Linked DNA regions of Mytilus edulis. The protein of the gene in region 2 interacts with the protein of the main gene of each other region in a biochemical or structural test. Links are inferred from orthologs where the notes say so. Each region holds a gene or a part of one and is shown on either strand. Other genes may lie near its edges.

What was found.
Region 1: the proteins of eukaryotic translation initiation factor 2 subunit 2-like (region 2) and eukaryotic translation initiation factor 2 subunit 1-like form a complex in vitro, tested with the Homo sapiens proteins (2 studies listed by BioGRID and IntAct). The link is inferred for Mytilus edulis from reciprocal best matches to the Homo sapiens genes EIF2S2 and EIF2S1.

Annotation. Positions count from the first base shown.
Region 1 is NC_092344.1:105,392,372-105,400,958, forward strand, and holds the start of eukaryotic translation initiation factor 2 subunit 1-like, read right to left. Parts: upstream 3,932-8,587; 5' UTR 3,852-3,931; intron 2,524-3,851; 5' UTR 2,515-2,523; coding exon 2,277-2,514; intron 1-2,276. UniProt on the Homo sapiens protein: Member of the eIF2 complex that functions in the early steps of protein synthesis by forming a ternary complex with GTP and initiator tRNA. This complex binds to a 40S ribosomal subunit, followed by mRNA binding to form a 43S pre-initiation complex (43S PIC).
Region 2 is NC_092348.1:20,411,116-20,419,236, reverse strand, and holds the start of eukaryotic translation initiation factor 2 subunit 2-like, read left to right. Parts: upstream 1-4,300; 5' UTR 4,301-4,448; coding exon 4,449-4,469; intron 4,470-5,009; coding exon 5,010-5,193; intron 5,194-5,976; coding exon 5,977-6,065; intron 6,066-8,121.

The sequences.
Region 1 (8,587 bases), on a different chromosome or scaffold from region 2:
TTAACACCTTGACACCAATCTTATAATCTTTAGTTTTGCTTTGACAGAGACTTAGATCATGCCTAAAAGCAGCTTTTATAACACAGATGAAGCAGTTCAGCAAATGGAAGCACATTACACAAGATGTTGAACATTCCATGATAAAAAAAGACTCTCAGAGTAATGTGTTCTTTGTATCATTTGTTGGAGTCACAACTTGTAGTTTAGTAACATAGTGGTATGGAAAACTAGAGGCTCTAAAGAGCCTGTGTCGCTCACCTTGGTCTATGTGAATATTAAACAATGGACACAGATGGATTCATGACAAAATTGTGTTTTGGTGATGGTGATGTGTTTGTAGATCTTACTTTACTTAACATTCTTGCTGCTTACAATTATCTCTATCTATAACAGTACTTTCTGTGGAAAATGTTATTGAAAATCTTCAAATTTTAAGAAAATTGTTAAAAATTGACTATGAAGGGCAATTACTCCTTAGGGGGTCAGTTGACTATTTTGGTCATAGTGACTTATTTTTAGTTCTTACTTTGCTGTACATTATTGCTGTTTACAGTTTATCTCTATCTATAATAATATTCAAGATAACAAAAAAAACAGCAAAATTTCCTCAAAATTACCAATTCAGGGGCAGCAACCTAACAACCAATTATCCGATTCATCTGAAAATTCCAGGGCAGATAGATCGTGACCTGATCAACAATTTTACTTCCTGTCAGATTTGCTCTAAATGCTTTGGTTTTTGAGTTATAAGCCAAAAACTGCATTTTACCCCTATGTTCTATTTTTAGCCATGGCGGCCATCTGTGTTGGTTGGCCGGGTCACCGGACACATTTTTTAAACTACATACCCCAATGATAATTATGGCCACGTTTGGTTAAATTTGGCCCAGTAGTTTCAGAGAAAAAGATTTTTCTAAAAGATTACTAAGATTTACGAAAAATGGTTAAAAATTGACTATAAAGGGCAATAACTCCTAAAGTGGTCAACTGACCATTTTGGTCATGTTGACTTATTTGTAGATCTTACTTTGCTGAACATTATTGCTGTTTACAGTTTATCTCTATCTATAATAATATTCAAGATAATAACCAAAAACAGCAAAATTTCCTTAAAATTATCAATTCAGGGGCAGCAACCCAACAACGGGTTGTTCAATTCATCTGAAAATTTCAGGGCAGATAGATCTTGACCTGATGAACAATTTAATTCCTGTCAGATTTGCTCTAAATGCTTTGGTTTTTGAATTATAAGCCAAAAACTGCATTTTACCCCTATGTTCTATTTTTAGCCATGGCGGCCATCTTGGTTGGTTGGTCGGTCACTCCACACATTTTTTAAACTAGATACCCCAATGATGATTGTGGCCAAGTTTGGATTAATTTGTCCCAGTAGTTTCAGAGGAGAAGATTTTTGTATAAGATAACTAAGATTTACGAAAAATGGTTAAAAATGGACTAAAAAGGGCAATAACTCCTAAAGGGGTCAACTGACCATTTCGGTCACGTTGACTTATTTGTAAATCTTACTTTGCTGAACATTATTGCTGTTTACAGTTTATCTCTATCTATAATAATATTCAAGATAATAACCAAAAACAGCAAAATTTCCTTAAAATTATCAATTCAGGGGCAGCAACCCAACAACGGGTTGTCCGATTCATCTGAAAATTTCAGGGCAGATAGATCTTGACCTGATAAACAATTTTACCCCATGTCAGATTTGCTCTAAATGCTTTGGTTTTTGAGTTATAAGCCAAAAACTGCATTTTACCCCTATGTTCTATTTTTAGCCATGGCGGCCATCTTGGTTGGTTGGCCGGGTCACGCCACACATTTTTTAAACTAGATACCCCAATGATGATTGTGGCCAAGTTTGGTTTAATTTGGCCCAGTAGTTTCAGAGGAGAAGATTTTTGTAAAAGTTAACGACGACGGACGACGACGACGGACGACGACGGACGACGACGGACGACGGACGACGGACGCCGGACGCAAAGTGATGGGAAAAGCTCACTTGGCCCTTCGGGCCAGGTGAGCTAAAAACTAGTGAAATATGATCGAAAAATATTTTGTTTAAAGGATTTCTGATTTTTTTTTAATAAATTCAGTAAATTTCAGATTTCTAGGTAATATCACCATGGGGACATTTAATTGCTTACCTTCTAGGTCATATGGACTCTGATGGATACATGTAGTTGTCTCATTGGCAATTATACCACATCACTTTATTTTTTAAAATGAACACTCTTGTTCGATACATGTATTGTCTTACAAACCTTTGTCTTTGTCTACTCTAATTACAACTACACATTCACTCCTCCCCACTCTAATTAATTTGTTGATAGAACGGATACGTCGACGAGACAATTCACTCAACAATATCATGCCTTCAATATTGTTATATTCCAGGAGATGAACATATGCTCCCATCTCTGCTATAGATCTGACATTGACCATAACAACATCCTCTACCTCTGGGTACTTATTACCATAAAATCTACACGTAAGAACCATTTTTTATATCTGTAATGAAGGAAAATAGTTACATTGTATATATCTTTTACCATGATTTAAATTTTTTATTTTAATTATAGATCAAAGTATGTTTTACCTCAATCTTAAATTCAAAAAAGCTTTAAAAATTGATGAAATATGATTTCAAATATTCTAATCATACAATCTAGAATGCAGGAGAATTGTGTGCCCGTCTTTTTCTGTCTGTTCATATAGGACTAAGGTCACACTGTCTTTTTCTTTTACTTTTTTCTAAAAACAATAAAAAAATCTAGTTAATAAATCTTTTATTTCATTTACTTTCCCAAATCGACCAAGCATGCCAAAAATGCAGGGTTTCCCCTGAGTCAATTATTTTTTTCGCCATCTCTTTCACCAAAACAATATATTTTTCGCCACTTCATTTTTTTTTCGCTAAGTAACATAAACATATTTTTCGTTTAAAATTTTTCTTTTTTTCTACTCCCCCCCCTAAATAAGATGAGTTTGCCCCATTGTGGTCTATAAATATTCTTTTAAACTTATCTTAGAGTCTACATTGCAATGAATAAACACTAAAGAATTTGGCGAAAGAAAAATATATAACGATTTATTTTCGTCCATCTTGTTAATTTACTTTTTTTCTGGGACTTTACCTGATCAGACAGTTAATACTCGGAACTCACCCTGAACTCATTAAGATTTTGACAGAAATCAAAAATCCGCTGATTGCATTTTATAGCTATTGCCAACAAAGGACTAATTAATAAAGGTGTTGATTGTTTTGTTTGTCAAAATGATATGGTTAAATGATGTTTGTCACATGTCACATTAAGGATTTATTAACCACTTTGAGACGCACATGTTTGTAGCAAATTTTTGATGTCTCCTCTCCTTCTTTGTATGATAGTTAAAAAAAGTTAAACTATACTTGAGAGATGGGTCGAAGTACCCTTTTCGAAGCTATGTCGTAGATGTAGATGAAGAACAAATTCATGATTGACCTCCCTCTTTGTCTCTTTTACATGTAGTTTTTATCTTGGTTTAATTTCTCCTTGATTTATAGACCACATTCCCTTCAATCACTTTATACATGTCTAATGATCTGAATGTCTATTTTTTATTTGAATAAATGTGTGTAACTGGGTTGGTGTGATTGGTTTATTCTGCACATCGCACTAATTTAAATTCATACTCTCAAATAATTCAAATATTTACACCTTGACCAGATTGCGCTAAATTGACAGACGAAACGTTATATTATAATGCTTTGAAAGAATAGCATTTCATCATTAATGTATGCCAACAGAGGGTTACTATTTGAAATAGCTTCAAATAAGCATTTAAATGTGAATTACATTGATATTATGGTCTTGGGGAAATTTTGACATGTGTTCCGTCTGATGCAAGATGTGTTTATAAGAATGTTGTGAAAAACGAATTTTAGATAGTTTATGATTTTGTATGATTTGTGGGTTCTTGTTTCGTTTGAATAAAATAAAAGCATGAGTAAATACTATTAGTTTAGCACATGATACACTATATAAAAGTTGTATGGACATTTTATAGTCATATAGCTTTTTAAAAAACAAAATTCTTTTTACTAGATAAATTTAAGAAATATCATGGTGAAGTGTGCATCATAGGTCAGTTTCATCACCATTTAACAATAATTGCATACCATCGAACACCCCAAAAGTCAAATAAAACAATAAAGATACGGTACTTTGAATCTATAAAACAATAAAATGGTCGAACTATTATTCTGTTCTACAAACTATCGACAAAAAAAAGTAAGTAAGTATATTTTTTTTATTTGGATTCGGCATATTGACAAACAATACAAACATACACTCTAATGAGCTTTTCACCGAATATAAAAACAGCTTTCGGGTCGATCCGGCCCCACGTCGATCCGGCCCAAGTCGATCCGTCCCACGTCGATCCGGCCCATATGTCAAGTCGATCCGGCCCCAATAAAAAATATTTTTATAAGGAATGAAAATAAAGATATATATTAATGTAATTCATAAATGTTTATGATTTTTATTATAATGTAAAAGGTATACGGTAAAAAAAAAATATTTTCAGATGAGTACAAAACAACATGAACAAACTAGGTTGATTATGATTTTATTACAAGTTTTTAAGAGTATTGGGTATAATTATATTAAAACAATTCAGACAAAAATTTGATTTAATTAAGTGATTACAAGTGGCATTACCTTATAGTTCACAATCGCCAGACTATTGTTGAATAAACAAACCAATTATAGACTAATGATTTGATTAATCAAGTCATTATGATGAGTTAAATTTTATAGGTTTCAGTGGACTGTAAATATTTATTTAGATATTCTGTGTATATGAACTAACAAAAAATAAATAACCTGCAATTCAACAATAACACTCATTTTCGTATCGATTTAAAATAGTTCTTTAACTGGTACTCCAATACTTCACTTACCTTTTGTCATCTATCATCGGACACTTTTTGAAAATTCCATTTAAACTGTTAAAATGTGTCACAAATTCCTCCAAAATCAATATAGTTATTTCATATTTATTATGGGGCCGGATCGACTTGGGGCCGGATCAACGTGGGCCGGATCGACTTGGGCCGGATCGACTTTGGGCCGGATGGACTTGGGGCCGGAACGACCGGATACCATAAAGACATATGCAATAACAAATAAAACAAGGCATGCAGCATGCAATAAATGATAAAAAGCAGCACCAAAAATTAACTCTAAGCAAATCGCATATACATGTATCTTGCAAAATACCAAGCCTGACATATATATGAAGCACTAAAATTTTAAAAAATTTGCAGTTTAAAAATATTTTTTTTTTAAATTTATGATTTATAAAGTAAAAATTTAAAATCTTTCAAAATTTCAAATCTTAAAAACAAAATTTCAGTTGCAATGCAGCATAAAAAGCATAAATATTGTAACACAAATTATCTACAGGCAGAGCAAAAACATTCTGTTCCACTCCAGGACTGAACAAAACTCTTAAAATGTGAGAAGCTGTTAACAGTCCTGAAATGGTCTGGTAAGCTATTCCATAAAGAAGCAGCAGCAAAACTAAAAGATTTTTTTCCATATGAGGTAGTTCTTACCTGTGGTATTTCCAAAATATTACTGTATCTAAAAGAATATTTAGTGTGTTTAATTTGGAGTAAATTTTGTAAACATACATTCTCATGGGAACCAACTTGTCGACTTGTTCCTTCATTTTATGAAGCCGACTTCACACAGGAATTTCCTTAGAAGAAACAAAAGAATTTAGCAATATCCTATAACTTTACTTCCCGCTTTATCGATGATGTTCTCTCACTAAATAATACAAAATTTGGTGACTATGTTGAACCAGAGACTTATATACATGTGTATATATGTCTCTGGTTGAACGCATCGTGCTATCCCATCGAACTAGAGATAAAGGATACAACATATACAGTTAAGTCTGCATGAGATCTTGACTTACATCTGGAAATTGACAATAAGGGTCGGTTAAAAACAAAACTTTCCGATAAAAGAGATTATTTCAGCTTCCCAATTGTAAACTTTCCATTTAAATGTAGCAACATTCCAGCAGCGCCTGTATACGGAGTATATATATACATTTTGTATCTCCCATTTGATACGATATTCCGTGACGGGCTAGTATTTTTATCATGATTTCCTTGGCTGTTCACAAGGAAGCTATTAAACTAAAACTTCTAAATCATGAGTTGGTTGACCTACATGGAATATCCGTTTCATAGACGACATTGGATATGTTCTTAATGTCGTTACTACAATCCCGTTCCCTTTTCACGAATGTGACCTGCCGAATTAGACAATTTATGGGGTTTATAATAGCATGAGCAACACTACGGATGCCGACATGTGGAGCAGGATCTGTGTACCCTTCAAGAGCACCTGAGAACACCCATAGTTTTTGGTCGGGTTCATGATGCTAAGTCTTTTTTTTCTATGTTGTGTTTTGTGTACTATTGTTTGTCTGTTTGGGTTGTCTTTTCCTTTCGAGCCATGGCGTTGTCAGTGTACCACCGAACACCCCGGACCAAAAGTCAAAGTAAAACAATAAAAAACTTCGACTCTACAAAACAATAGAATGGATTAAATAGGTTGGTTGGTCTATTATTTTGATTTCATAAGTACATTTATATATGTAGGACTCTAAAGTGCGATGGTACTCTAAAGTGCGATGGTTACGCTAAAGTACGATGGTCTACGCTAAAGTGCGATGGTGTCAGACGCTAAAGTGTGATGGTTGTTTGTTTTTTAAGTACGATCAGAAATCACGCTAAAGTGCGATGGTATGACACGCTTAAGTGCGATGGTGTAACGGGAATGGGGTTCAGGCAATGGTTTTCGTTTGTTGCTGAGTTTCTATTACATTTTCGTTTATTGTTTTGATTATGTGTCAAGCCGAAGTCTTTATCTTTTGAATTGTTTTACACTGGTCATTGTATAACCCTATATAGCTTGTAACGGCATGGACCAATGCATTACGTTGACGGCCGTAGGATTATTAGCCGCATACATGTGTACAAGTGTTATTTTATGTCCACTGTAATTATTTTTGTCATATTAATGTTTTGGTTATCATCTGTTAAAGTCATTAAGTCAAATGACTATCCTGCTATAAGAGATTAACATAGCATGTTCTCTAAGGTCACATTGTAAATACTTTTATATGATTTATATGTTTTATTTTTGTAAACAAAGAGTTGGAGAATATTTGGAGATTATTTGGGTCAGTTGGAGAATATTTGGAGAATATTTAGGTCAGTTGGAGAATATTTAGGTCAGTTGGAGAATATTTGGAGAATATTTGGAGATCATAGGTATATAAGAGCCCTCTGTTTTTAGTGTTTAGAGAGGATTAAAGGCAAGACATTTAAGAACAATACAATGTGAAAAGTTATTTAAAAAGGATTTTTGTTATTCTAGGCGCATAACATTTTTAGATATATCTTAGCAGATTACTGATAGCTTTGGAATTATTATTATTTCTTATATTCTTTATGTCCGCACAGTATTGGAGACTGTTGCGTGGTTCCGCTCAGTATTGGACGCTGATGCGTGGTTTTGTCCGCACAGTATTGGAGACTGTTGCGTGGTTCCGCTCAGTATTGGACGCTGATGCGTGGTTTTGTCCGCACAGTATTGGATACTGTTGCGTGGTTCCGCTCAGTATTGGACACTGAAGCGTGGTTTTGTCCGCATAGGATTGGACGCTATGCGTGGGTTTTTGTGTGTGTACAGTATCAGACACTGTTGCCGATTTTATACCGTGTGAAAGTAATTTGCTAATGAATATTTCAATTATACATTTTTGTAAACTGTATGTTATGTAAATAGTGTCCGGAATGGAATTTTAATAAATAGATTAGTGAATTTACTTGTGTATTTCTTGACAACAATACTACAGATTATTGGATTATTTTGTTCTTGAATTTTCTGTGATTTCATAATACCCGGCCTGACCAGAAAGTTTGATGTAACTCGACCGCCATGGCACATGATCGGCATTTGGGATTGGATGGATAGTTTATACTACATCTTCTTATGTTTATCTAAAGTACGATAGTTGTTCAAAAGGTGTAATGGTTACACTGTAATATAGTTAGTACATCCGGAATTTAGTGGAAGTCGTTTTTTAATAAAATAATATGTTATAAGACAATGCCCCGTGTTTAAGGTCATACTTAAAGTTGCATATTTCAATAACATTAATAGGTCGAAGATAGATAGTTGTCGTATTGGCAATCATATAGTATGATGATACTACACATCTGTTTGTTAGGTTGCTGTCTAATTGACATATGCTAGTATTTATTATATAACAGAAATAACAAACCGTATAGTATTTTTTTTTTGGATTGAATAATTCAATTAGAAAGTAAATGTTAGATTAAAGTTATTTCTACAATTTCACAAATTAAGTTAACCTATTCCAGCAACGACAAAAAATTCCAGATTGTGATCATTTGTTTTTCTCTTCTCTTGTAATAAAAATCTTTAATCTGGACAAACATTCTCGTCATAATGCTGTGGAACGTTTATAACGACGATGC
Region 2 (8,121 bases):
GAACAGTTAGCCATAAATGGTAAGCAATATCCATCCAAAGTGAACCAAACCTTCTTGGACATAGTAGCAGACATTAATCTTGAACAAATAGTAGACTTCCCTACAAGAAAAGAAAAAACTCTAGATTTAATTTTGACTAGCCATCCAAGTTTTAAGCAGAGATGTAAACCAATTCCAGCTATTGGTAACAGCGACCACGACATTGTCCTTCTTGATACCTCAATTAAAACACAAAAACCTAAACCGGTTAAACGTAAAATACAACTATGGAAAAGAACCAACATAGATGAAATACAAAATGAGGTGAGGTTATTTGCTGAAACCTTTAACCAGACGACCTTCACTAATATTGAAAACATGTGGAAATATTTCAAAGAAAACATCATGAAAATTATTGATCAGAAAGTACCAACAAAGATGACAACTACAAAATTTACCCATCCTTGGATCAATACCACCATCAAGCGCCTAATAAGAAGGAAAAACAAGGCCCACAAGAAATCAAGGAAAACAAAGAAAAGGAGAGACAGAGATAGATATAAATACCTCCAACAACAAACACAAATGGAAATAAGAAAAGCATACAAAGAATATATGAATGACATCATTAGTCTCAGTTACACTGAGAAACCGAAAAGATTTTGGTCATTCTTGAAGAGCAAAGGACAGGACTCGGTTGGAGTTGCACCACTCAAAAACAAGGAAGGATTCCTTAAAAGCGACAGCCAGAGTAAAGCCAATATCTTAAATGAACAGTTTTGCTCGGTTTTCACAAAAGAAGATGGCAGCACTATTCCCGATAAAGGTCCTAGTAACATCAATACAATGAATGACATCACAGTAACTGAAAATGGGGTATTCAAACTGTTAAAAAACCTTAACACCAACAAAGCAGCAGGACCAGATGAAATACCAACCAAAATACTGCAAATAACTGCTGCAGAATTATCACCAATTCTGACAAGAATCTTTCAGTTTTCACTTGATACAGGAGAAGTTCCACAAGATTGGAGAGATGCCAACATAGTGCCACTATACAAGAAAGGGGATACTCACCTAGCGGCCAACTATCGTCCAGTCTCCCTTACCTCCATCACTTGTAAGCTGTTAGAGCATATAGTTCACAGCAGCATAATGAAACATTTTGATCAACAAAATATACTCTGTGACAACCAACATGGTTTCAGGAAACGCAGATCATGTGAAAGTCAGCTCATCATCACCATCGATCGTATAGCCAAATACCTTTCAAATGGAACCCAGATTGACATCATACTCCTGGATTTTGAAAAGGCATTTGACAAGGTTCCTCATTCAAGACTGCTGTACAAACTCCAATTTTATGGAGTAAGGGGCCGGACAAACTCCTGGATCAGTTCATTCCTATCAAACAGGAAACAACAGGTAGTATTGGAAGGTGCTAGATCTCAACAAGACGATGTTCTGTCAGGTGTGCCACAAGGCACAGTACTAGGTCCTTTATTGTTCCTAACATACATCAATGACATGCCCGGATATACTCAATCAGATGTCCGCCTCTTTGCTGATGACAGTCTACTATACAGGGAAATTAGTAACACCAAAGATACAGAACAACTTCAGAAAGACCTTGAAGCATTAGAAAATTGGGAAAAAACATGGATGATGAGATTCAATCCAACAAAATGCAATATTATCCGCATACCACCAAAGAACAAAGAACCTATACAATACCCATACACTCTACATGGACACATACTCGAACCAGTAGATAGTGCCAAGTACTTGGGAGTTTCAATATCAAACAACCTCTCATGGAACAAACATATCCAGAGTGTTACAGCAAAGGGTAACCGAACACTTGGGTTTGTCAAACGAAACCTTAAAGAATGTACCAGGAAAGTAAAGGCTGCTGGCTATACAACACTCGTGCGACCTGTCATAGAGTATGCTTCTACTATATGGGACCCAACCAACCAAGCAAGCATCAACACACTAGAACTTATACAGAGGAGAGCTGCTAGATTTGTCTATAATGACTACACATCACGCACACCAGGGTGCGTCACTACAATGTTAGAAGATCTTAAATGGGACACATTACAGACAAGACGCCGTGACAACAGGCTATGCATGCTCTATCGTATCCAGAATGAGCTGATAGACATCAACAAGAGTACTTACCTCAAAGGTGGCGACAGTAGAACTCGTGGAGGACACAAGTTTTACCAACAGAGGGTCACCAGTGATGTCTACAGGAACTCCTTCTTTCCAAGAACAATCATGGAATGGAATACATTACCTGCCAGGGTTGCTGAAGCGGGATCAGTTGAAGATTTTCGCTCAGGGCTACAGACAACACATTAATACCAGACTGGACGATTGTACTGACATAATTTTAACCGTAACAACCTGATTTTATTGTAAATACTGTATATAGCCTTAGGGGACTAGATATGTGATGTCACCATGCGTAGTCCCGCAGAGTTTAAACGTTTCATTAAAGGAACCCAACTCTTATATGGAAGAAGAAGAAGAAGAATATATTGTATATTTTTGTCTGTTATTTGATGGTCTTTGATATTTATTCTGTCATTTAATGGATTTTTTTTTTATTATAATCTTTATGACCTTCGGGACCCAAAATTTGTTAATAAAATTGATCTTATCTTAACAAAAAGGTGACATTGATTTATGATCATTACCCGGGGATCATTTTTGATACCGACAAAGCACTTGTTACGACACTGGGCCTCTTGGTTTTTTTTCTGGATTATCTCCCTTACGAAGTTTTCAGTGTCCTTGACCTCTAGTATTATCAGACTGATGCAATAATTTGAACGATGAAAAACTGAAAAATCAAGGAAACTCGAGCTGCTATTTCATTTATCTGTGATAAAATCATCAACTTTATTGTTGATCTTTAATTTCAAGAATGGAGGACGACGAGCTGGTAAGAGGATTGAAAAATAAATGATAAAATGACTTTTTTTGAGCCGGGAATATGAGAAAAATATGGCGACTTCCATCCTCGATCACACGTGTAGTAAATTATTCGAAATCAGCATATTAGTTATGATAAAGTCACACGTTTGCATATATTTTTTTCTTCAATTCATGGTTGTTAATGCAAATCATTAAATATTGCTGAAGATTGGCTAGCATAAAAACAGAATCTCACGAAATTATCTCGTATCTGGGTTGGTTCGGTGCTGTTGACGTATCGTGTTCTCACCTGAACCACAATCACCTTTATTGTTATTATGTTTTACCATGGTGATGTTTCCAATGAACCCAATACTGTCCACAGTTCTCCTTTTGACATAATTTAATTCAGTTATGGTTAAGACAGTAGTGTCTTCTAGACAAAAATTTGTATCACTCAATATTGTTACCATTCAAACAAAGAGACTACCTACAGGCTACAGCACTTTCAGTTTCATACATATATCTAAACTTAGTATAAAGTTGGCACAGACTTGTATTTGTATTTCCCACTGCTGTTAACATGGTAAATAGCATGTCACAGAATAGATGGGTATGACCATATGTCGCAGATTCCTTTCGGCTATTGTGTGATAGTTGCGCTTGCTGGGGAATTCTGATTTAAGCTTCAAGTTGTAGTGACACACACTACCATGTCTTCCAGATGGTTCCAATCAATAGCGACTGTGCACAAAAATAGTTTTTGAACATGTCCGATTTACTATTTTGAACTACAAAAATGTATGACCATTCGTTTGTTGTTACAGACTTGTTGGTCTACAATGTACTTAGTGATAAAGTTATTCAAAGGTTGTTGCTCTGATTTGTCGTTTTGGTCTGTGGAATTTAATAAGGTTGTGCGGAGGGAGCACTTGTATCTTCCATTAAACCACTTCGAAAAACAAAATCAATTGTTTTATATAAACTCTTCATAACTACTTTAACATGGTGAATGTACAAAATGCAAATTAAATAAGCAAGAAGAACTCATCAATGCCTGATAGAATGGAAATATACAGTCTGTTGATAACATCAATGTTAGTGCTGTGATGTCAAGATTGGGTTTAGTTAAGTGACTAGTGACATTGGTCTAGATCATAAGATTTTTATTTTTAGTGAGGTACTTTGTATTTTAACCCTTCTTGAATCATCTTATAAAAGTATATATATTCATAAAACTTTTTGTAATAAACAACCTACCTAATTAGTATTACTTTTCAGAAAAAAATAATGAGATAATATTCCCTGTATTATTATCTGCTAGGCTATAAATATACATTATACAAATCGATATTGCATCAGACGTGTTTTAGTATAAAATAAAGACTGCAATATAAATTGAAACATTTATCTTTAAAATAGCAAAGGAAAAATATAATACATATAGCTCTAAGCCTCTTCTATACAGGAATATTTTGATGCAATTGGATCAGTAAAAAAGGATAAAAAAATCATTATTATTCTAGATGTTCAGAAATTAAATTATGGTTTATGAAAGAGAAAAGGTAAGTTCCTAAAATGTGTTAATTTTGAAAAAAAATCAGTTTATCAAAGTGTCAATACAAATTTTGTAAAGGCAAAATATGGCATCAAAACTAAAAAATATATACAAATGTATGGGAAAATCCTCAACATAGGTTTTGATTTCTTTATAGTTTCGAAATAAGGTTATTTAATGGTATTTTTGTGATGAAATACCATACTTTATAAAATGAGACAGGAATTAGATGATGCAACATCTGATCAATAACTTTTTCATGTAAACTAAGTTTACATTCCTGTTCTGTTTGATTCATTGATAACTTAAAAAAAATTTGTGGAAGATTTTTAAATTTCAAGTCATTTGAATATTTTAGGTAAATGAGTAGGATTTGGTCTAATCTGAAGGAAAAAAATGTTCATTATTTAAACAAATAGGTTGACATGTCTACATGTATGTATCTGGATTGTCAGCCAATATTGTCATACATTTGTACATTTCTTTCGTACATATGAGTGTAATAATTGTCTTTGTTTATATAAATTAATATAATTTACCTTTACAGACCCCCTTTGATCCTAATATGATGAAAAAGAAAAAGAAGAAGAAGAAGGTACCATTTGATTTAGATGCAGCTATGGGTGATCCAGAAGGAGCAACAGATGGGGCACCAACCCCAGAAACAACTGAAATCCAAGAGGAACCAAAGGAAAACAAATCTGAAAATCAAAGGGAGAAAGTAGACGATGGTAATACATAATGGGAAATAATTTGGAAATACATGTATATGTGAAGTGTACATGGTGTACAATGTATGTGAATAGAAACGATGAGTTCATAACTTGACTACATGGGTGATCTGAGGTGCTCAAGAAGGGTATGAAGATCCTGCATGAGCCAATAAATATCATTGATATTCGACATGCTTATATGATCAGATGAATAAAACAGGACATATAAGTGAAGACTTACAGATGAACACTCAAAGCTACATTGATATTGATATTTTATCTGAACAATAATTAGGTTTTTCACTACTCTGCAGAAATTAAATCCTAGAGTATGACTTCTTTCTCAAAAACTATGAGTCTTAGGACATCTTTCGCAGAGAATCGTGAGGAGTGAAAGTTTAATGAGATGACTCATGATCATTGTATTCATTTGCACAAGGACAATTTCTATCCAAAACAGCTCATTTGTTAATCTATAATTTGACTTTCCAATAATGAATTCAAATTTTTCAACTTAGTTATAATAGCCACACTATAAACAAATAAGCACAATGTTGCCTGTGTATGTCCCTGGTACACAATGACATCACCTTGTACATGTATGTATATGAATTCTCTAAAATGCTTCACGCTGGCACATTTGTAACTTTTTTTTTAATACATTGAAAAGAAAGTGTTTATTTGACAGATTATATTATGGTTTCACACAGATTATATTATGGTTTCACACAGATTATATTATGGTTTCACACAGATTCAGCAATTTGATGTAGAAGAATGAATTTGTTTGAATATTTTCAGATATGTCATTAGAATTTAGCCTTGGGATGAAAAAGAAGAAAAAGAAAAAGAAAGCATTTGAACTGGATGACATTGGAGATGCTCTGCCTGTAAGTAAAAGTATAAAGTTTAGATCTGGTTTCCATGTTAAATTAGGGGCCTCAGCGGCCAAGTGGTCTAAGTAGTTCTTACTACTGTAATCACTAGCCAGTCAACACTGAGGTTGTAAATTCATACCCTGCTCCTGGGGGTGCACACAACTTCAATCTTAATTGACTAGTATTGTCAGTTTTTCTATTTAAAGTCTGAGGTTTTCTCTAGGCACTCTGTTGTATGAACTAGAACACGTGTGCGCATGTGTACAGGTGGGAAATTTAATTATGCATCCTACATTTCTACAAAAATGCTTCAATAATCATTGATATCTGTATCTAACGTTCATTTCAAGTATTTTGTTGAAGAAATGATGCGGAAAGAGCTTCTTCACTCAGTCGTGCTTTGTAAACGTACACAGATTTTACGTATCTGTTTCTAGTCCATGTTTTACCAGTCAGGTCAACATCCGGTATAAGGAAAATGTGATTTTTAAAACTAAAGTAAAATGTTTTGACAAATAAAGAGTATGGATATCTATAAAAAGGTTTAATACCACTACAGGAAAGTTGGGATTGATTTTGGGGGTTATGGTCCCAATAGTTAAGGAAGAAGGGGCCAAAAAGGGGGCCCAAAATAAGCATTTTTGTAGTTTTAAAACAATAACTTGTGTTTAAGTGTATGAATCTCTCTGAAATAATTCCACAGGTTTCCATACCATGAAAGGATGGTAATTAATGACTTTGGGGGCTTATGACTCTAAATGTTTTGGAATTAGGGGCTAAAAAAGGCGAAATTAGGGGCCCAAAAAATGGGATAAACTAGATTTTCCAGACCAACTTTAGATTTACTGAATGGATCTCTATTAATTTCTACCAGAAGGTTCAATACCACTAATTAAAGGAAGGTTTGGATTGATTTTGGGGGTTATGGTCCTTATTGTTTAGGATTTAGGGGCCAAAAAGGGGGTCCAAAATAAGCATTTTTGTAGTTTTCAAACAATAACTTGTGTTTAAGTGGATGAATCTCTCTGAAATTTTACCACAAGTTTCCATACAATTGATGGTTAGTAATGACTTTGGGGGGTTCTTAAAATGTTTTGGAATTGGGGGCCAAAAAAGGGGGAAACTAGGTTTTTCTGGTCAATGAACAATTAAGACAATTCAAAAGCAGTGTAATGGAGGTAAATCATAAACAGATAACATACAATTTTTGGTTTGTGCAGATTTACCTCCCTTACACTACTTGTAAACAATGTATAAAGAAATGTCAGGTTTTGGACCTATTTAAAAAAAAAGGGGATGGTAGTAGTTTTCAATTTTTTTTCTCAAATTCCAAATTTTTTATACGACCGCAAATTTTGAAAAAATTTTCGTCGTATATTGCTAATACGTTGGCGTCGTCGTCGTCGTCCGGCGTCCGAATACTTTTAGTTTTCGCACTCTAACTTTAGTAAAAGTGAATGGAAATCTATGAAATTTTAACACAAGGTTTATGACCACAAAAGGAAGGTTGGTATTGATTTTGGGAGTTTTGGTCCCAACATTTTAGGAATTAGGGGCCAAAAAGGGCCCAAATAAGCATTTTCTTGGTTTTCGCACTATAACTTTAGTTTAAGTTAATAGAAATCTATGAAATTTTGACACAAGGTTTATGACCACAAAAGGAAGGTTGGTATTGATTTTGGGAGTTTTGGTCTCAACAGTTTAGGAATTAGGGGCCAAAAAAGGGCCCAAATAAGCATTATTCTTGGTTTTCGCACAATAACATTAGTTTAAGTAAATAGAAATCAATGAAATTTAAACACAATGTTAATGACTACAAAAGGAAGGTTGGTATTGATTTTGGGAGTTTAGGTCCCAACAGTTTAGGAATTAGGGGCCAAAAAGGGACCCAAATAAGCATTTTTCTTGGTTTTCGCACCATAACGTTAGTATAAGTAAATAGAAATCTATGAAATTTAAACACAAGATTTATGACCATAAAAGAAAGGTTGGGTTTGATTTTGGGAGTTTTGGTCCCAACATAATAAGGGGCCCAAAGGGTCCAAAATTAAACTTTTGTTTGATTTCA